Diceros bicornis minor: one gene and its partner. The protein of the gene in region 1 purifies or fractionates together with the protein of each later gene. This does not show direct contact. Links are inferred from orthologs where the notes say so. Each region holds a gene or a part of one and is shown on either strand. Other genes may lie near its edges.

Region 1 (10,248 bases):
AAGCCAGGTGAGGCTGACATCTCCCTCCCCTGGGATTGCACCTGCCCTATCTGCACAGGTGTTCGAGGTCCCCACATCCTCTCCCAGCCACGGGCCCATCCAATGGCTCCAAAAGACCTCAGAGATGGAACAATTCTACACCAGCCCTGTAAGCTATCCCAAAAGGCAGGATGTACAATGGTTAGGAACACTGGTGCCAGTCAGGCAAACCAGGGTTTGACTCCAATTCTGCCATTTAATAGCTGAGTGACTTGGTCAGTCAGCTAAATTAACCACTTCTGGCCTCAGTTTCCTCATTTATAAAATGGGGTTAATAATAATATCTACAACTTCATAGGGTTGTCATGAGGATTAAACAAAACACCGTGAAGTATTAGCATGGTGTCTGCATGCATGTTAGCTGCTGCTACTACAGTCCTCACCTTTGGCGGTATATAAGGGCCTAAGAGGGCCCCTAACAATCCACCACAGTCTAGGGACCACCTGCTTTGCCCTTTTGATCCTGAAGATTTAGGTCCCTACATATTTACTACTTTCCTGCAATCTTCCACCAGAAGTGGAAGGCACTGGCCCTTTAAGTAACTGAGACTGCCTGAGAACAGAATTATGGCACCTTAGCTATGGGCCCACTTTTGGCCCTGCTTACAGTCTAGGCTTTGGATTTGGTCTCCTGACTTGATTGTCCTAGACACCAGCTGCCTGACCAGTGCCTCTCCTGGCCTGGCTCTCTGGCACCACCCCACTTGCAAGGAGATTAAAGGCACTTGGGCTGACTATTATTGCTCAGGGTCTGGTGGAGGGGGTGGTGGCCGCAGGCCTGCTGCTGTGATGACCAACAGGACACTCTGATGTGGGATGTGCAACTGATGGAAAGGCGACCTGATCCAGGGAGGGTTGGGAGGGAACTGGGACCCAGAGTGTCAGATGGAGAGCAAATCTGTGGGCCTTTTTAGCCTGGAAAGGAATTTCTCAGGTGGGTCAACCCCACCCATGTTCTCCAAAACTAAGCAGGAAAAGGAAAAGCTGGGGATGCTGTTTGCTCCGAGTTGAAGACGGGGAAGTAGGGGAAGACCCTGCCAGAGTGATGGAGAAAGAACAGTCATCTCCCTTCCCGAGGTCTCCAAGCCTTCAAAGAGACCAGACTTGATATATATCCAGTGCTTTATTAAACATAAATAGTCTCATAAGAGGAGAAGTAAATGTGTCCCCAGGCCAACAGAGAGTACGTGTATGTGTGTTTGAGAAAGAGAGGTGCGAGGTCCCTGATCTGTGCTCTGAGGGGCTGGTCAGTCAGGTGAGGCCTGGGCCAACCAGTAAGGCAGATGAGGGTCCCTGTCCTGCGTGACTCACTGCTCCTGGGTGCCCCAGGAGATGTAGTCCGGCCGCGTGGCTGCATGGTACTCATCGATGAGCTGCTGCACGATCTCCCTGGATGTGTCCAGCTCATCAAAGTTCTCCTTGAAGATGTCCTCCTTACGGAACTGCTCCAGGAAGGCTTCCCGCTTCCGCAGCTTGTCATACTGGCGACAGGTCCGCTCAAAGAGCTTGGGATGTGCAGAAAGCAGGGGTCACAAAGAACTTTCGGGAACAATATGGCCCAGAGAGCCAGGGAACCAAGACTGGGCTCTCTCCACAGTAAAAAGCCAGAGGCAGAGCAGCAGGGATGCAGAGAAGTGAGGCACAACCAGGAAAACGATTACAGGAAAAGAGGTGCAAACTGGGAGACTCACCGAGGAGATGCTGGTGTGGTTGGCCATCATGAGCCCACTGACTCGATGGGCTGAGGGCAGGTAGGGAGACTTCCTTGACAGGGCCACCTGGATGCTGGCTGGGCCCCAGGGGATGAAGTTGGCCAACTTCCGTTCCCGGATCCTCTGCAGGCTCTTGTGGACCTGGGGTGGGCACCGGAGCAATGATGGTAGCCTCTCCTCTATCCCTGTGGGTTCCGAGGGTGAAATGAAGGGGCCTCCCCTACCTGGGTGGGGTCCACCTCCCCCTGGATGATGTTGAGGATGGCGATGTAGCAGTGGTTGGTCTGGCGATCTCGGCCTGTGGACACCATCACGTTCTTGGGCTGCAGCAGCCGCCTCATGACATCCAGGACCGTGGTCTTCCTCACGCTGGCCACCTGAGGGGAGAGTGGGCCACAGGGGCAAGGCCAGCACTCAGGGCACAGTCCAGAGAGAAGTAGGCAACACATGTCCCCCACCAGACTCAGGGTAGTATGGTCTCTTTGGCGAACGTCTTTAGATTCAGGTCTATACTGAGCCTCTGCTGTGGGATCCCTCTGATCTGGGATCAGGAATCTTAGCCCTCCTCAGCTCAGCAAACTCATGCCCCTGTGCAGGAGCATAAGCAGACCCTGCACAGCCCAGGCCCTGCAGGGAGCCAAAGGCAGAGGGAAGAGGAGAGCAAGTCAGCAAGGAAGTTGTACAGTCTGTGCCAGTCCCTGGGCGCAGAGCCTCTGGGGGCTGCAAAGGGCAGCTTCTGGGGCCACAGGGAGAAGAGAAAGCCCAGGTCAGGGCCTGCTGGGCCCCGGGCCAGCCTGGCCTGAGACCCCGAGGGCTGCTCTTACCGACTGGTCCGTGGTGAGGGGGGTGTAGCCGGTCATGAGGAAGTGGAGCCGTGGGGTGGGAATGAGCGAGGCAATGAGGCCGATGAGGTCGTTGTTCATGTAGCCGGGGTAGCGCAGGGTGGTGGTGCTGGCAGACATGATGGTGGACACCTGGGGACAGGGGTGCCATGTCATGGGCCTTGGCCTGGGGGGGCCTCCCTTCCCCAGCTGGCACTCCAGCAAGGAGGCATTCCAGTCCAAACGAGTGGAGGAGTTGGGGCTCACCAGCTGGTTGATCTGGGAGAAGGAGGGGTTCTGGATGTGCAGGCGGTCTGTGGCGATCCGGTTCAGGGCTGTGTTGTCCAGCACCACCTCGGGGGACAGAAGAGGGTGACAGATTTATGGAGACAGAAAGAACAGCAGCTCTGCCTGAGCCTGGGTTCTGAAGCTTAATTTCCCTTGAGCCTCACAGCCAGAAAGACCCATCCAAAAGGGACTTGCACAGGACTGGGGCCCAAGAGGGCTGAAAGTGTTGAAAGAGACAGGGGGTGGGGGTGGGGAATGGTAGAATCCAGGACTCACCACACAGTCTGCGTTCTGGGTCAGCCTCTTGAGTGTGAGCAGCGAGTTGTAGGGCTGGACCACCACGTCGCTCATCTCGTCCTGGTTGGGAAACACTGAGTACGTCTGCACCAGCTTCTTGGGGTACCTAGTGGGGGTTGGGAGAAAAGGGTCAGGGCAACAGACTGGTGGCTTGGTGAACACGGGGCTCCCAGCAACTGTCTGGAAGCAGCTGATTTTGGATGGGGAAACTGGTATGGGGCCCCGGGGAGCAGTAGAGAAGGGAGACCTGACTTTTGGAAGTCTGTAACCCCAAAGGGGGAAGGGCAGAAAGACATCTTAGGATCTAGAGTTCCAACACCAAACCCCATACTCCCTGAACCTTCATCTCTTCATCTAGGGCCCAGATTCGAGGCTCCAGTTTCAACCCCTGGGAGTGTGATCGGGTTCTCAGTCACTCTATCTTGACTTTCCTCACTACAGAAGGGCCCTTTCCTGCTCCAGTGAATAGCAAGGTGTATCTGGAGGGCCTCCAAGTTACTTGGGAAACCAAGTCCTCCTAGCCCCTCAAAACACAGACTTACCTGTCATTCAGCCGTTCTAAGAGGTAGGAGCCCAGGCCAGAGCCTGTCCCCCCAGCGATGGAGTGACACAGCACGAAGCCCTACATGGGGAAGGGGCAGTCAGTGTCTAGGTATCTAGTGTCAGGATTTCAAACTGGACCCATCCCATAATTTCTTGGACTCCTATCTTGCCAAGTTCTCTCCTCCACTTCCCTCCCAACATATACAGCTGGGGAGACTCTGCCTTGTTTCCAGCAAGGCTTCTGTCCAGTGCAAAGCATACATGGGTGGGTCTTATTCCTAAAAGTGGCTTCTAAAGGGTGTTGCTGAGGCTTCCCTATGTCGGCTCCCACTACCATTCCTGAGACACACCTCCAGACTGTCACTGCCATCTGCCTCCCGGTCTATGATGTCAAAAATGTCCTCGTGGATCTTCTCTCCCTGTACAGATATGGGGAAGGTCAGAGCAAGACAGGACCATGGGACAAAGATTCTGACTCTCGATTCTCCTTATAGCACCTAAAAGTCTTTTTTTAGAGCACAGTGGCCCTGCTTTTTATTTGCATTGAGAAGCAGTATAGCACAGTGGTTATGGGCAGGCACTCTACATCCAGAAGGCCTGGGTTCATGTTTAGCCGAGGTGACTCTGAGCACGTTGTGATCTCTCTATACCTCAGTTCCCTCATCTGTATATGAAGGTAATAATACAGGTCCACTCTAAAATCCTTAAGGCCAGTTATGTTTCAGAATTCAAATTTTTCAGACTCTATAAAGGTAACATGGTACATATAATGTATGTTAAGTAAAATGCCAGTGGGAGTCTGAGGTGTGCTAATCAAATACATTAATATTTCTGTGATGAAAGGTATGAGAAATGACAGTAAATTGGATAGAAACTATAAAATAGCCTGTCTCCATTGAGATTGGGTTTTGTTGCTAAATGAGTTATAAATTGTCTTTTGGTTTCAGAGTTTTTTGGATTCTGGAAAGGTAGATAAGAGACTGTGGACCTGTACTACCTACCTCTTGAGTTGCTGGGAGGTTTAAATAAGTTAATATACGTAAAGCTCTTAGTACGGCCTGGCACACAGCACTAGCTAGTGGAGTCTCTTAACAATTTTACATAGTTGACTTAGAAAACAGAACTCCCTTAAGCCATCTCTCTCTCCCTCCAGCACTCATACATCCTTGATCTGGTTTCATCTCTCTCTGGGAAGTCATAGGGCCTGTCCCAACACAGGAAGGGTGTTGTGGGTCCTGCCAGGGAATAGCGAATGACCTGGGAGAATCCGCTGGCCCAGTTGTTGCCAGCCCCTCCTCCATGCTCTGACAGGTAGATGTTCTCTGGGTTGTAGAGCTTGGCATAGGGGGAGTTGAGGATGGAGTGGATCACCCGGGGCTCCAGGTCCAGCAGCACGGCCCTGGGGATGTAGTGCTCATCGTCTGCCTGTCAAGGGGAGTCCAGGAGGGGGCCCAATCAGCTAAGGCCAAGGCCCCCGTCCTCCCAGCTCTGCCTCCTCCCTGCCCTCCCTCCTCAAGCCAGCCGCCCTGGCTTCTCTGCCCAGCAGGTTTCCCAGCACCAGGCCGCTGCCTTCCCTTTAGGACCCCTGGCCAAGTCGCTGGGGGCACCTGGTAGAAAAAGACGTCCTTGCGGTCAGTGCCCTCGGTGGCAAACTCCTCCACGATGCCTTCGGGGCTGATACCATGCTCGGCGCACAGCTGTTTCCAGAACTCGAACCCAACTGGGCGGGGTGGGGGAGAGATGGACGGGGGAGAAAGAGGATACCTGGGTCTGGGCAGGTTCCAACTAGGAGCTTGGGGACTGAGCGCCTGGGTATAGAGACAGGAAGTCAAGCCTCAGGAGTCTCCCGTGTCAGAGGAAAGGGCTGTATGCCAGGACCGGGCAGGGGAGGGCCCCTCGGGGTTGGGCAACTGGACACTGGGTCAGGCATGTCCTGCCTTTCGGAGAACTACGATTCTGGGAAGGGCAGATGGAGTCCAGGATCCCACAGCGAGATCCCATAGAATCTGAGGAACCTGGCTAGTGGAGGGGCCGGAGGTTTGCTCACTCTGATTGCCGCACTGGCCCAACTGTAGGGTGATGATTTCCCTCGGCATCGCTCCTCAGGCACCGGCGTTGCAGCCTCTCCCGCCAGCAAAGCCGCCGCTAGCCAGCCCGCTCGCCGCACGACGCAGGCGCCAAACAACTCGCCCCGCCCACGAACTTTCTCCGCTCCAATGAGAACTGAGTTCTGGCGATGGCACTTCCTTATTCATTTGGCTTCAGTCATGCAGACTGCGCTTGCGCGGCTCCTGATCGGGCTGGGCGCAGGGGCGTGCTTTGACGCAGTGTTCTCTGGATGGACTCTCGTTCGAGTGTGTGCGCAGGCGCGTTGTGAAGGGAAGCAGCCTCCCCCGCCGAATCGCGCATCTGCGCAGTTGGTGTTATTGTGACTGTGGGGCCGCGGCCCCGGATGTTGTGGCTGCCGGGGGGCGATGGCGGAGGCAGAGGGGGTGGACGCGGCCCCAGGCCCAAGTTTGGGCCCGACGTTCACGGGCCGCCGCGCTATGTCAGGCTCCTGGGAGCGGGACCAGCAGGTTGAGGCGGCGCAGCGGGCCCTGGTGGAGGTGCTGGGGCCTTACGAGCCTCTGCTGAGCCGGGTGCAGGCAGCCCTGGTGTGGGAGCGGCCCGCCAGGAGCGCCCTGTGGTGCCTGGGGCTGAACGCGGCTTTCTGGTGAGAGAACTGGACCCTTGGAAACCCTCCGAGGCGGGAATTCGTCAGGTTTCTCTAGGGCTCTACCTCTCGCCTCCTCTGTTTTCTTCGCTGCGCTGGCTCCTTCCTGTACCTGCCTAATTTTGCCCCATCTCCTTCCACTTCTTCCCGCCTGCAGGCTTCGGCACCGCAGTTCTCCCCAGGTCTTCAGTTGTCTTCTCCGCTTTACTGCTCCCGCACCCTCGCCCCGCACATCAGGCAAGAGCTTCTGGTTACGTCTTGAGCCGCTCGCAGTGCGCGAGGGCGCCTCATTTTAGCCAGGGAAAGCTGTGTGCCTTGAAGGCCATAGCCTCCCTTCTCTTGTCTGCTCAAATGTGGTGAGGACTGTCTCCAGATTGTAGTAGTTATTATTGGGGTACACGCGTCAGGCGGTAGGTCTTGAAAAGGTATCCGGAGGTGTGATAGGAAAACCAGCTTGAACGATCTGAATTCGCGCGTTAGATCTTTCTTTCTCCCACTCTAGGAGGTTTGTGAAGTCTGAGCGTCACTAAGCGCGTCCAAAGCTGCAACTTGGAAGAAAATTATAAGCTTTTGAAGAACAGTTAGGAAATAGTGATTGTGCGATTTCACCCGTTTCAAAGCCTCTATGATTGCAACTCCTCCATGTTGCAAGGAATTAGCGAGGCATCCAGCCGCAGTTTATAGGCAAGGAAATTGAGGGTGTCTAATAGTGTGTAAGTTTTCCTGAGCTGGAAAAGTGCGGCTATAAATATGCTTTCAGAATCTGGATGTGTCATGCTCTGTGAAGATGAACTCCTGCTTCTCTCAGTTGTCATTACCTGGAGTGGACTTAGGTCTTCATAGGATCTGCCAGGCATAGTTTGGATTTATTCATAATTAGGGAAGTATTATTGATCTAATTCCAAGGGAGCTGAAGTATAGGGAGCTTCTACAACTGGATGAAATAAGGCTATTCTGGATAAGCCTGAAACAGCACAAAGTATGAGTTCGCAAAAAAAAAAAAAATTGTTTTTTGCTAAAAATAGCTTTCCTCTTGAAATTCTTGGTTTTAAAATCAAAACGTTTATTATTCTTTGTCTGAAAGAAGATTTTTAGTGAGCTGGAGCAAACCCAATAATTCCAAGTTCATTGGCAGGAAGACACAATGTTTAGCTGTTAAATTAATCCTCTCACAGTTTGAAGGAGACTCAGGTGAAAGGTGTCACAGCCATCTCTGACTTCCATAGTCTTTAACAAACTTGACGATAAACTTTTTCTACAGCATTCTTCATTTATTTTTGGTATTGCTTCTTCTTTGATCCCCAGGTACCTACTTCCGGTCTGTTGCTTTCTGTCAGAAACCCTTAACTGTAGCACCTCGTTCAGGAGTGTTTTCCAGAATGACCTTTTCTTCCTTTCCTCCCACCTCCCCATCCCAACCCCTAACCCTGGACCATCCAGTCAAAACTTCCTTTCCTACATTGGGATTGTACTCCTAGGAAAAAAGTGGGTCCTGAATAAACCAGTTTGTATCAAGATGTGAGTGGCTGATATATAAAATTCTTTTAAATGAATCCTGATAAGCCAAAGTTTTATTAATGCAAATGGATCAGTAGCATGTATGTTGTTATTTTTGAGGAGGGGACTTTCCACATGCCCCTTGCCTGAGAGAGAGTTTTGAAGTGGAATGTGGGGTTGAGGTCTGCACACAAGGAGCAGCTCTGCATAAGACACATCTTTAAATGTTACAGTTAGCTTTAATTTGCTGGCCCCCAACAGTGTTTACTTAAGTTTACTAATATGCTATGTTTAGAATCTCACTCAGATCTCCTTTTCCTACTCTGGGTCTCTGGAAGCATTGTTGTGATTGATCTTTATCTCTGGGATTTTCTGGTAGCTTGCGTGCTGTGTATCCAGAGCACAGTTACTCTTGTTATGTTCCCATCACACTTGAAATAGGTGGGGAGAGATACAGCAAAATGAAGGGTGCATCTCTTGAGACTGAAAGAGCAACTGGGTATGCCATTTATGGAGAGGACTTACACCTGTGAAGGGCACAGAATGACTGGAAGTGTTAAGTAAGGCCCCAGAGGCTAGGGTGGTTTGGCGTTGGAGTTCATGGGATTGTTTGTTTTAGGAAATGGGCTTCTTTGGGAGGTAGTTTGAAGTTCAAAATGAAAGTTAGACTTCACATTCCAGTAGCATCATATTGAATATGGGTGTTGACATTTCGCTTAGGAATGTCAAAGAGTGACTGTTTTGTTCTCAGACATTTTAAATGTTTAGGAAACATAGAAGGATCATTGGCTCAGGTCTGAGAGAAATCAAATCTGAAATATTTTATTTTTCTTTCATTATTTGTTTTGAATAATGATAAATCATTAACTGAGGTGTTTTATATATTTTGAGGTATTAGAAGATTGGATAGGAGTACAAAAAAATCATCAGAATTCAGGTAGGTAGCTCTTAACTTTCCATGTTCTGTATTCTTAGTCAACTGTACCTGTGAATGTGCCCTCTTACATCTTAAAAAAACAACAACATAAAAGACAAAGATAGATGTAGATGCCTTGCCACTGTAGTATTTCAAGGTTTTCACTCTTTTTTTTCAGGTTCCAGAGGAATTATGGGTATCATATCAGAGTTCTTCCAACCTATGTTGCTTCTATTCACTGATATGTTCTTGTCTCTAGGATAATAACAGAAATGTCAGGCGTTTCTCTCCAATAGCTTATATTTTCATTAGCCTCAACACCACCTATAAATGAGTGATTTGGGGGAAGAACAGCTGAGTCAGTGAGAGTGTATCCTCACAGGATCAGAAACGAACAGGTTCAGGTAACTTTTTGGTTTGACTCATACCTAGGAGATAGGGGAGGACAAAGGAGCCCTGGAAATGTGTGTGAACCCCAAGCCCTTCTATGAAGCGCATATGGTTCAAGGAGGGCTAGATGACTGCAAAGCTCCTTTCCAGTTTTTAACATTCTGTGATTCTAGATGATCTTTAAATTATTCTCTGTTGGGATCTGCTTTTACAGTCGCTAGTCTGAGTTAACCATACTATATTCTAGGGGATGTTATGGAATCTGTTGTTTTCACAATTGGAAAAAATAAGGTGTTTCCCCTCCCATCTCCGCAAAAATCTCCCCAAATCAATAAAATGACCTGAGAAATGATTAAAGGTATATAAAAATTCTTATTTGAAAGTTTAGAATTTGAATGAAAATGAAAAAGGAACAGGAAAAGGAAGGGAGGGCCCATTTAAGTAGAGACTTAGTGTTCTGTGAAAAAAAATCTACACATCAAATTTCAGATGAAATCTATTGAGCACACGTCTCTGATCATTGTTCTTGTTGCTTTTGGTAGCCAAGAAGATTCCCAAGGATGCCTTGGCTTGCTTTTTTTTGCCTCTCTTTTGCCAACAGTTTTTTATCTGTCCTAATTGTAAGGTTGGGTGCTTTTTGTCCATTAACATAAGGTAGGTTATTAGCAGCTAGCTGGTTTCATTTCTGGTTTTGTGCAAGCAACAACTGTCACTGCGTGAGATAGGTTGGGTTAATTTTTTTAATTCTAATTTACCAGTGACTGGCTGATTAACCAGACAGCCACAGTGCTGTACAATAATGGGCTTTCTGTCCCTATAGGATGGGGTGCTTTGTTCTGAAGTGCCACTGAGACAAGCTTACTCTGCAATAACAAAGGAACCCAGAAATAGTATCTTCTTTGAAAACAGTCATGTGATCTTTATTTTGTTTGTGATTATAGCATAAACTTTATGATTATAGCAAACTCTAATTTACCTGTGCTAACAGTGAGGATCCATAGTATAGTTAACCTCAAAAAAATTGTTTAGTTT
Region 2 (10,812 bases), on another chromosome or scaffold:
GATGCAAGAGGAAACAGAAAATTTAAATTGTCCTCTATCTATGAAAGAACTTGAAGTCATTATAAAAAATCCTTCCCCCAAAAGAAGACTCCAGGTCCCGATGGTCTCCCTGGTGAATTCTATCAAACGTTTAAGGAAGAAATTACGCCAATCTTACACAAACTGTAATAGGAAGCCTGGACTTGGGGACTGCTCAGCTGTGGGCGAGTGAGGGAGAGAGAGGTGTTGGGGATGGCTCCCGGTTTCCTGGATGGGGTGACTGCGTGGAGCCACAGATGGAAGTCGAGAACAAGGAGGAAGTGGAGGAGCAGGTTCCGGGGTGGATGTGGAGCTCAGTTTTGCCAGCTGGAGTTTGAGGTGCTTGTGGGTGTGTGTGGGCACGGAGGGTGTGCACTGAGGCTCGGGGCTGGGGGAGCATCAGCGTCTGGGGGGACAGACCAAAGCCGTGGAAGGGATTCGGGCGGTGACTGCCGGAGGCTGGGACTCAGCACAGGCTTCCCTTGGGGGAGAGGCCCAGTCACCGGGAGGAGGAGCGTGGCTGAAGCGGCGCTGGCGGGGAGGAGAGGAGAGGCGATGACTGGGGACACCAGGACAGGTGAGGGGTACGACCCCACAGGCCTTGGGTGCCTGAGAAGGGTCAGAGCAACATGGTTGTGAGCACAGTGACCTTATGCAGACATTCTCCTATGGAACAGCCCTTTCCACAGTGGGGGCTCTCAGGAGAGTGTGTTTTAATGCACAACTATGCAGACATCAAGCTGTCATCTTACACCGGGGCTTGATCACCGGGCTGTGGACGAGCTCACACTCTCCCCCTCCCCTGCCTGGCCACTTGCCAGCGGGGTAGCTTCAGGCAAGTCACTTAGACTCCGAGCCTCAGTTCCTTTTGGTGTGAAATGGCAAAATGATAGGGTGCATTTCAGAGTGATTAATTGAGGCAGTGTGTTCAAATTATCACAGTGACCACACACAATAAAAATTCAATAATTGACATTACGGTTAAACAATCGGTCAAAATCTAGGAGCACCTATTTTGTGCTCAGTCTCAGCTTGTATTTGAACCCTGGGGGCAGAGGTGGAGGGAGGGTGATGCTGAGGCTGATTATTAGCTGTGAAACAATGAGAAAGCACCGAGTGCCCAGTAGATGACCTTGAGGGGAAAGGAATACTGTAGCAGACAGCCTTGGTCTTGGCCCAGGGTTGGAGGGGACTGACCCTCTTTCCAAGGGTGCAGCACGGGGCGAGGGCACACGGGCCGCCTGACGCTGCCTCCCCGCATCCTGGCAGCCCCCTCTGCAGTGCACTGCAAGCCAATGGTGGTGGACAGCCAGCTGTATGTGGTTGTGGCCCAGCTGTTTGGCGGCTCTTACATTTACCACTGGGACCCCAACACCACGCGCTTCACCAAGCTGCAGGACATCGACCCGCAGCGCGTGCGCAAGCCCAATGACCTAGAGGCCTTCCGCATCGACGGTGACTGGTACTTTGCCGTGGCCGACAGCTCCAAGGCGGGCGCCACCAGCCTCTACCGCTGGCACCAGAATGGCTTCTACTCCCACCAGGCCCTGCACGCCTGGCACCGCGATACCGACCTGGAGTTTGTAGACGGCGAGGGCAAGCCACGGCTGATTGTGTCTAGCAGCTCCCAGGCGCCTGTCATCTATCAGTGGAGTCGCACCCAGAAGCAGTTTGTGGCCCAGGGTGAGGTGGCCCAGGTGCCTGACGCCCAGGCTGTGAAACACTTCCGCGCCGGCCGCGACAGCTACCTGTGTCTCAGCCGCTACATTGGCGACTCCAAGATCCTGCGCTGGGAGGGCACGCGCTTCTCCGAGGTGCAGGCCCTGCCCTCCCGGGGCTCGCTGGCCCTGCAGCCCTTTCTCGTGGGTGGCCGCCGCTACCTGGCACTGGGCAGCGACTTCTCCTTCACACAGATCTACCAGTGGGATGATGGGCGACAGAAGTTTGTGCGGTTCCAGGAGCTGGCTGTGCAGGCCCCTCGGGCCTTCTGCTACATGCCTGCTGGAGACGCTCAGCTCCTCCTGGCCCCCAGCTTCAAGGGGCAGACGCTTGTGTACCGACATGTCGTGGTGGATCTCAGTGCCTAGGGGGTGCTGAGGCGTCTGGGTTCCTCGAGCAGCCGCTGGAGGCTGGGTGGGAGCCTCTGTGTGAGCAGCATGTGTGCCAGTGTGAAGACACGTGTAGCCAACCTGCATAGGTGCCCTCACGTACGTACACTCCGGTGAGCATGGGCACACACCGTGGACTAGCCCAGGGGAGCCACTTATCGTAGTTGTAATCAGCATGAAGACTCGTATATGCACCAGGCAACCCAGCACCTGGTGCCCTCCCATATGTGGACACCTCTTGACCCCACACTCCATCTGCAGGCCTGCCTCGCTCTGCTGCCTTCCACACGCTCTGGCCCTGGGGGCAGGGTGCTGAGAGGGAGGCTGAACTTCCCCCTCCTGTTCTCCAGCTTATTATTCTGACTCTCTGGTCTTTCCTGTTGGTGCTCTAGGTGTCTGTGTACCTGCTCATGCTCCACATTGCAGCCCACAGCCACATCCTTCATACTGCTGCGTGCACTGACCCATGCTACGCTCCTTCTGCGTGCACATGTGGACACTGACGGCCACCCTCAGGCACATGCACACACACCTGTCTACACTCCTGTTTTCACGTGCACACATGCAGATTCAGCACTGCCTGAAGCTTCCCCTCTGTTACCTTGCCTGTCTTCTTAGAGGAGCACACAGTACCCGTCCTCCTATGCTCACCCCTGGTGTGCCCGCCCTGCGGCTGACACAGATGGGAATGGTGATGCCAGCTTCTGTGCACCAGCTTGACCTCTGCCTGAAGCCCCAGATCCCCTGGCTACTTCCCAGTGCTGGCTCTGTTCTCACCGGAGTTCCCTTCCTGACCCTGAATTGGGCTCGCCCGTGTATAGGAGACCACCCAGATGAAAACCTTTCTGCTCTTCTTTTCTCTAGCTGCCCCAGCCTCGGACCACTCCCTGGTTCAGCCCCATGTTTGGGCTGTGGACCCTGAACTGTCCTGGCTCCTTTGGGTGTGTTCAAGAGCTGGCTGAGCCAGGGACCCTGCAAGCACCTGAGCCATCAGGGCAGGTGCCGGGAGTGCAGCTGGGCTGGAGAGCATCTTGGGGGCCCTGGGACCTCTCTAATCCACAGAGGCACACCCCAGGAGCACTGCCTTTCAGTGCAAGCTGAGTGGTGGAGGGGATGAAGGTCCTATGGGAGTGGCACCTGGGAGCCAAGCTTCTGCTGCCCTCTGCTGTATGCTGGGAATAGACAGCTCTGAGATGCAAGGCTGCTGGAGAAGGCATGGGGTAGGCAAGCTCTTCCCTGTGTCCAGACTGTGTGAGGGCCGCCTGGTGGTAGGATGCCTAGGGGCATTGGTGGGCAATGCCATGATTCACTTGCTTCGAATAAAAAGTTCCCACCCCATTGCTGGCTCTCAGATGTCCAATGGTGATGGTCAGCCGCAGCTGTTGCATTAAGAACAGAGCCAGGGCTGTGCTATCCTTGTTGCTGGCAGGGGCCCTGCATCAGTTTTCAGACCCCCTTCCTCCCTGCTCCCTTCCCTCCAAGGAGTGAGTGATAACCCCCAAGGTCAGCAGGTGCTGGGGTCAGGAGTTCATGGTGATGACACTCAGGTGCTGGGTGAGTGTGACTCGTCTCCACCACCTGGGGCTGACTCACGGCCCAAGTGTTCCTTCCTGGAGATCACAGTCTTGGGTCCCACTGAGACTGGAGTCTGTGCCTCTGTCAGGTCAACTCCAACCAATATGACCCAAGATAAGCGCAGCAGTCCCTGCCGCCCCCCATCCCACTGGGCAGATGTCTGTCACTGCCACCACCCTCTGCCCTAGGGATGAGATTTCAAGCACGTCGACGCATTTCTGGAGCCTCAGCTGCTACTTCTGGAAAGCAGATAATAAAACCTACTTTGTTTAGTCCTGATTCTGCCACCTACTAGCTGGGTAGCCTCGACCATGTTACTTAGCCTACTCATATCTGAGTTTCCTCACCTGTAAAATGTAGATAATCATGATACCTACCTGAAGGGTTAGTGTGAGATTTAAATGCATTAAATATATAACATACTAATATATGTAATGCCCTTAGAATAGTGTGCCTGGCACAGAACTATGATTTTTATTGGTCTGTAGCACTATATGAAATACAGAGGTGGCTCAGATAAGGGTGTTTTGTGGGAGCGGAGGTTGCTCTTTGGGGAGAACTGTCTGTGGATTAGGGGTCCTTATGCATCCTCAGATTCAGCGCCCCTGTACCCTATGTCTTACACCTGTGGCCTCAGGTGTCCAGCCAACCCGGCCCTGACCACTCCTCACAATGGGGAGTCTCATAGGGGACGTGTCTGAGTTTCCACCTCCTTGAACCACGTTCATGTGCTCTTGGCTCAGCAGGCGTCCCTCAGGTCCCCCAGCCCCACTGTCCTGGGAATGTCTGTCCTGCTTTTTCAAATGGGGAACGGGCCTCATGCTGTGCCAGGAAGAGGTTGCCAGGGAAAGAGGGTTGAGTCTCCCAGACACGTTGGCACTTTGTTGCCCAGTAGAAAGATAAATATCACTCTGACTGTACCCTCGCCCCCACCATGACTCCTTCCAGCGGTGGGAGACACTTCTCCCCCTGAATGCCCAGCTTTCTGCACACGAGGAATTGAGCTGTCTGTATGGCTGCCTGGTCACCTGCCCTGGGGGGTCATCCATGTGTCCAGAGAGCTGCTTAGCAACCCAGTGTAACCGAATGACTGTGTCAACAGCTCAGGACCAAAGGCCGTGAGAGGCAGAGTCCACTCACTCTGCCAAAGCCGAGGAGGCTGACACCCCTCAGCTGCCAGCCTCACACCCCTCCATGCTGAGCCCTGCTTTCAGCAGCACACCTCTGACATCTTGTCCCTTAGATGTCCCAAGCACAGTCATCGGCCCCAGGAGTCTCCACGTGAGAGACCTTCCTAACTGGGTGGGCTTAGAGTGGGCACAGGAGAGCTCCTCCCCAGTGAATTGGGGGGAAAGAGAGGCCTGTGATGCTGAGGTCAGGTGTGTGACTCTGGAGGGCAGCTGGTGGAGAGGAGGCAGTTCTGCAGCAGGTACCGAGGACCTGAGGCTCACATGCACACAGTCAGCTCAAGCACCCTTACCTCTGAGGAATGGATGGCTCTTGCTTGTTCTGCAATCCCCTGCTCCTCCTGAGCTGGCCCCCTACTGAGTCAGTCACATCCTTCTGCTGCAAGGAGACAAGAATACTTTTCATCTCGATTACAATGTCTATGCCTAGAGATGGATGGTGGGATCCTAACCCTTGGCGGTTCTTGTTCCTCCAATGTAGGACAGGAGCTGGGCCCAGAGTGAGGGAGCGGTTAGGCAGGTAGAGGGAGGCCTCAGGGCCTCAGGGGAGTTTCTCCTGTAGCCGGTTTCACTGCAAGCTCTCACACCCAGCAACACCAATAAAATTGATGATAATAATTAAGAGCATATAATCACCGTGTGTGTTTATTCCCAAGAAGGCTCCTTTCCCTGGCCCGGTCCTTACCTATTCCATCCCTTTGATAGGTGGTGGGTGTTAACTATGGCTCTAATAAAAAGTAACAACTGCCCCAGTGTCCCGCGCCCACAGCTCTGAGCAGCTCTGCTGTCCCCCTTACCTCAGCCCTTGAGGGCAAGCTGTGCAGGGTTGGGGGATGCTGTGCTCCCCGTCGTCAGAGGAGGAATGAGGCACTAAGCAGAAGAGGAACAAAGAATGCAACCCCACATGGAAAGTTGTAGAAGCAGCAAAGTTTGCCCTCTCTTTTGAGCCTCTGCCGTCTTCCAGGTATACACCTTCCTCAGGGAGGAGCTCCTGGGTTCCCTGTCCCCTCCCAAGGCTGCCCTCAGAGGACTGATCAAGCCAAGCATTTACCCGTTGTCTGGCAACAAGTGCCACCAGGGGACATTGGGCAAGTTTCTTTTCATCACTGCGTGAGCCTATTTCCTAAATGAGAAAAAAGGATCAAGACCTTGCACACAGAAATGCACTACAAAATGGGGATCTTTGAGGTTATTAAGCCCTCAGGGATATTTGTGCTCTTTACTCACAGGAATAGGTGGAAGTTCAGACTTCCGGGGAAGAAGGCATGGGGGGCTGGGGGCTCTGCCCAGAATCCCTGAAATCATCACGGTCAGCCTGCCCAGGAGTGTGGGCCCTGGAAGGGTATCCCAGAGAGAGGTTAACTCCCGAAGTTGAGTCGGATGGGAGATGAGGCCCTCAGGTTCCCTCTCCCCTACTTTCTCCCAGCTTCCCCTTTAGGTCAACTGCACATCTTTGAGGCGTTGACTGACTCCTGACCCAATGGTGTAAGAGCTGATTTGCTGGCGCTCAGCCAAGCCTCCTTCCAGTTTGTGCCTGGGCCTTGAGGGGGGACCTCCGCCCATCATATGCCCTTTCCCATTTTACAGGAGGGGAAACACGAGGCAAAAGGGGGAAGCCAGTGAAGACCCACGGAAACTCAAGTCCACATTTCTTTTTTCCTCCTACTCCCGCCCCATCTTGTTTTTTTTTTTTTTTTTTTTTGCCGCTTCTCATCCCCTAATTTTTCCGGTTAGGACCGCGACTCAACCTAGGGACCCCACACGCGAGGCGGGGACGCATCGCCGCTTTAAAGGGCAGGCCGCTCGCCTCGTCCCGCCCCCCGGGGCCGCAGTGCGCCTGCGTCGGGCCCCGCAGCCCGGGGTTGGGCAGAGCCCGGTGCCGTGCAACTTTCAAGTGAGCTGCAAACTCCGCCCCGAGGCCGGGCCGGTGGCCGGGCGCAGTGGGATCGCGGAGACCGCACGAGTGAAGGCCGCGACCCGCCACTCGCGGCCCGGCCCCCGCCGCGGCGCCCCGCGAGGGCCGAACGCCTGGTTCCCCGCGGCAGGGAGTGTGAGTCGAGCGGAAACTGCCTGGCGGCGCGGCGGGGCAGAAGAGCGCGCCCGCCGGTACCGGCTCCTGAGTCGGTGCCTCCGCGTCCGGCCTGCTCGCCCGGCCTGCTGGGCTCCCCCTTCTTCCGGCTCCCCGCACTGCGAAGTTAGGGGGCGGCGCCCCTCCGGTTCCTGCTCCTCCGCTCACTTCCCCATCCTGGCCCTGCAGGAGCGTCCCTCTGGGCATCTTCTTGGGTGGTCTCCCTTTTCCCCCGAGGCTGCAGGATGGTGTCCTGGATGATCTGTCGCCTGGTGGTGTGAGTATGGCAGCTCTCATATCCCCTCTATCCCGGGTGCCAGCCCGGCCCTGGGGTGGCAACTGGGAACGTCTGGTGGGAAAGGGGGCTTTCTGAGCTCCGTCACACCTGTCCCCTCCCCCGCCCTCCCACCCTCACAGCAAAGGTTAACGGACCTGTGGGCCTGCACGCGGCGTCCAGCACGGCTTGCTTGTCCCCCAACCCCCAAAGCCTCCTTGGCGGATGGCGACCCCTCCCGCACTCACACACACACTGCAGACAGGTGCGTGGGGCGGAGGACCACGGGCCGGACCGCAGCCCTTTGGCAAACACTAGGTGTTGTGGCACGTTGTGGGCGGAGAAGCCGTTGTGGGCCTGCTTCCTAGCTGAGCCATCTGTCACGTGACTTACCACCCTGGCCTCAGCCTCCCTACTCTGTCTTACTCGTCACCTTTCGGTACTCCAGCACCTAGCTGGAATAACCCTGTCTGCAGCCTGGCAGTGCCAGGTCTCGTGGCCCTGGGCCTGACTGCATGTCCATGGGAGGGGACAGTGGTGCTCTCCTCAGTTCAGAAGTCTGCCTCCCACCCACGTTGTTGAGTGGCTGTGTGTGCTCTCTGTTCACCACGTATCCATGGGCCACCAGTGCAGGCCTGGGCAGGCTTAAGATGTTTGTAAACAGCAGGGTGGGGAGGGCAGCTTCCAGGGCACTGACTCAGGTGCAGGTTGTGCAAGCCAAGCGGGAAGAACAGGGTAGGCATTGCCGCCTCACACCGAGGGGGAGGCGGCCATCTGGTGAAGCGTGGTGGGGCATGGTGCCCCTCACTCTCCCCCTCGGTTTTCTGGCTGTTCTTCCAGGCTGATGTTTGGGATGCTGTACCCAGCTTATGCTTCGTACAAGGCTGTGAAGACCAAGAACATTCGTGAATATGTGAGTGTGGGGGTGAGGGGCTGGGCAGGAGGGTTTGACTCAGGTGGGGTGGAACGACAGCCTTGGGGGGGTATGGTAGGATTGGTGGGGTGGGGAGGGTCTGAGCTGGCCTCCCCCTCCTCCAGGGGCTTAATCGGGAGGTGTATCTTGGGTGAATGGCTGTGGATGGAGGGTGGGCTATTGGGGTTCCTGTGCAGGATCTTGTGGGTGAAGCCTATTGGGGGTGGGTACAGGCATGAGTAGCAGTTTCTCAGAGGCAACTCTCTAGCCAGATGGCAGGGGAATGCAGCGGGACATGCTCTCTGGAATCCCTGGGCTGGGTCAGTCCAGGACAGGGGAGTTGGCTCTTCAGGCTTAGCCGCTGGCCTCTGACCTCTGCCCCTGCCCCACAGGTCCGCTGGATGATGTACTGGATAGTCTTTGCACTCTTCATGGCGGCAGAGACCTTCACAGACATCTTTATTTCCTGGTATGGGGGCAGCGGGGCTGTGGGCTGTGGGGAGCAATGGCCCACCCTCTGTCTGGCTCCCTGGCTGCCCTTGTCCCCCTGTGCTCTGACAGGTTCCCTTTCTACTATGAGATCAAAATGGCTTTTGTGCTGTGGCTGCTCTCGCCCTACACCAAGGGGGCCAGCCTGCTTTACCGCAAGTTTGTGCACCCGTCCTTGTCCCGCCATGAGAAGGTACCCCAGGGGGAGGTAGGGAGGGAAGCATAGGGATGGGTGTGAGGGAAGGAGCCCTGGATTCGGGCTTCAGGACACTCGAGGACACCTGGGTTCTAATCCCAGTCCTGCTGCTGTTTAGCTGTGAGACCTTGGCAGAGCCTAACCTTCTTTCTCTTTTGGGATAATCAAGTGGGGGCACATGTGAATGACTTTTTGGGGGTATGACACACCAGCTGGAAGTTGGTTTGGGGATGGTTGGGGGGAGGATGGAGCATGGCCATTCACTGAGGTGTGGGAGTAGGGGAGTGGGTGGGTGGGTGGGGAGCCCTGCTCTTGGTGTGGTTGCCTGAGCACTGTGGGTGGGGGTGGGCTGGGAGGCGTGGCACCCAGTGGCTTCTCTGGGTCTGCAGAGGAAGAGTGACTCCAGCTGTCCACTTGAGCTCTCTTCCTCCCTCATCTGCAGGAGATCGACACCTACATCGTGCAGGCCAAGGAGCGCAGCTATGAGACAGTGCTCAGCTTTGGAAAGCGGGGCCTCAACATTGCTGCTTCGGCCGCTGTGCAGGCTGCCACCAAGGTGCCCTGGGTCCCAGCCCTCCAGCCCCGTGCTTTTTGGGCAAGTCCAGCTCACTGTCAGGGAGCTGATAGATAGCAGCTGTCTGTGCTGGGGAACAGGGGTGAGGGGTGACGGGGGTGTTGGCAGGAGCATGGAGCTGAAAGTCCAGACTTCCCTGGCTCTGCGAGCAGCCGCTCCTGCTCTCTGGGCCTTCGTTTCCTGTTGGTGCCACAAAGACCCAGAGCTAGAAGCTTGCTGAGTTGCTTTCTGTGGGGCTGGTGCCCCAGTGACTACCTGCGGGTCAGTCCTTGACTTCCCTGGGTAGCTGCCCTGATGGAGGTCCCTTTCTGCTAGGAGCCCTCCTCCTCCCTCCAGGTGATGCAGAGCTCCCCCTCCCTTGCAGAGTCAGGGTGCGCTGGCTGGAAGGCTGCGGAGCTTCTCCATGCAGGACCTGCGCTCCATCCCCGACACTGCTGCCCCCACCTACCGGGATCCCCTCTACCTGGAGGACCAGGTTCCCCGCTGCAGGCCACCTATCGGTGAGTGGGCAACTGTCCCAAGAGGAATGGCTTCCTCCATGCAAGCTGTGGCTTCCTGCAGGGCTAGAAGAAGGCCTGGCTGGCCCCAGGCCTTCAGACAGTGTAAATGCGCAGCTTAGCCTTCTGGCCTCCCTCACCTCCACACAGGGTACCGGGCAGTGGACCTCCAGGACAGTGACACGGAGGGTGAGTGTTGGTCGGATACAGAGGTAGTCCCTCAGCCGTCAACCCGGCCCCACCGAGAGAAGCCTCTGAGCCGCAGCCAGAGCCTGCGTGTGAGCAAGAAGAAGCCGCTGGTTCGGGAGGTCAGTGGCAAGGAAGACGCAAGGGGGGCGGCAGCCCTGGCACTTCAGCCCAGACCTCTCATGGTGTGCCTGCTCTCTCTCCCCCAGGGCACCTCACGCTCCCTAAAGGTCCGGACAAAGAAAAAGACCATGCCCTCAGACGTGGACAGCTAGGGTCTGCAGAGCCCGGCCCTCGTGCCCTGCAGGGTGCTGAGGGCTATTTGGAGGGGACCTCTGGCTGCATGTCTGGCCTGTCTGCACCAGCTGCCCAGGCTCTGCCCTCCCAGCTCCTGCTGTTGGTTCAGGCCCAGAGGCAGGTGCTGTCGGGGCCATGCACGGGGATGCACCCAAATGTACCAAAGCAGGCTGGGACCACGGTTCTATTTATTGCCTTTCTCATTCCTCTACCTTCCCAGGTGTGGGACCACAGCCCTCCCCAGACCCTGCAAATGAAACCAAAAGCCCACCCAGCTCTGTTCATTCCTTCCTGTCCTTCAAAGTACTTGACAGCCTTCTCCAAGGCCTTGTGTGTGTGTCCTGGTTGTATGTTTTGTGTTGGTGGATGAGGTCAGGTTTGTTCAGGTTTTGATAACTAAATACATGAAAGTGTTCTGTTTCTCCTGGTT

The links.
Region 2: the proteins of RETREG3 (region 1) and REEP4 purify together in Homo sapiens (affinity purification with mass spectrometry; 3 studies listed by BioGRID and IntAct, with this or other methods). This does not show direct contact. The link is inferred for Diceros bicornis minor from reciprocal best matches to the Homo sapiens genes RETREG3 and REEP4.

Annotation. Positions count from the first base shown.
Region 1 is NC_080757.1:41,681,814-41,692,061, reverse strand, and holds the start of RETREG3 (reticulophagy regulator 3), read left to right. Parts: upstream 1-6,119; 5' UTR 6,120-6,174; coding exon 6,175-6,413; intron 6,414-10,248. Other genes in the region: TUBG1 (tubulin gamma-1 chain), read right to left, coding at 1,347-1,544, 1,731-1,892, 1,976-2,128, 2,576-2,725, 2,840-2,926, 3,137-3,263, 3,700-3,779, 4,051-4,119 and 3 more. UniProt on the Homo sapiens protein: Endoplasmic reticulum (ER)-anchored autophagy regulator which exists in an inactive state under basal conditions but is activated following cellular stress.
Region 2 is NC_080750.1:71,710,184-71,720,995, forward strand, and holds REEP4 (receptor expression-enhancing protein 4), read left to right. Parts: upstream 1-6,782; 5' UTR 6,783-7,201; coding exon 7,202-7,233; intron 7,234-7,373; exon of another isoform or gene 7,374-7,495; intron 7,496-8,070; coding exon 8,071-8,143; intron 8,144-8,535; coding exon 8,536-8,612; intron 8,613-8,704; coding exon 8,705-8,825; intron 8,826-9,270; coding exon 9,271-9,423; intron 9,424-9,766; coding exon 9,767-9,902; intron 9,903-10,049; coding exon 10,050-10,207; intron 10,208-10,294; coding exon 10,295-10,360; 3' UTR 10,361-10,505; downstream 10,506-10,812. Other genes in the region: LGI3 (leucine-rich repeat LGI family member 3), read left to right, coding at 1,288-2,105. UniProt on the Homo sapiens protein: Microtubule-binding protein required to ensure proper cell division and nuclear envelope reassembly by sequestering the endoplasmic reticulum away from chromosomes during mitosis.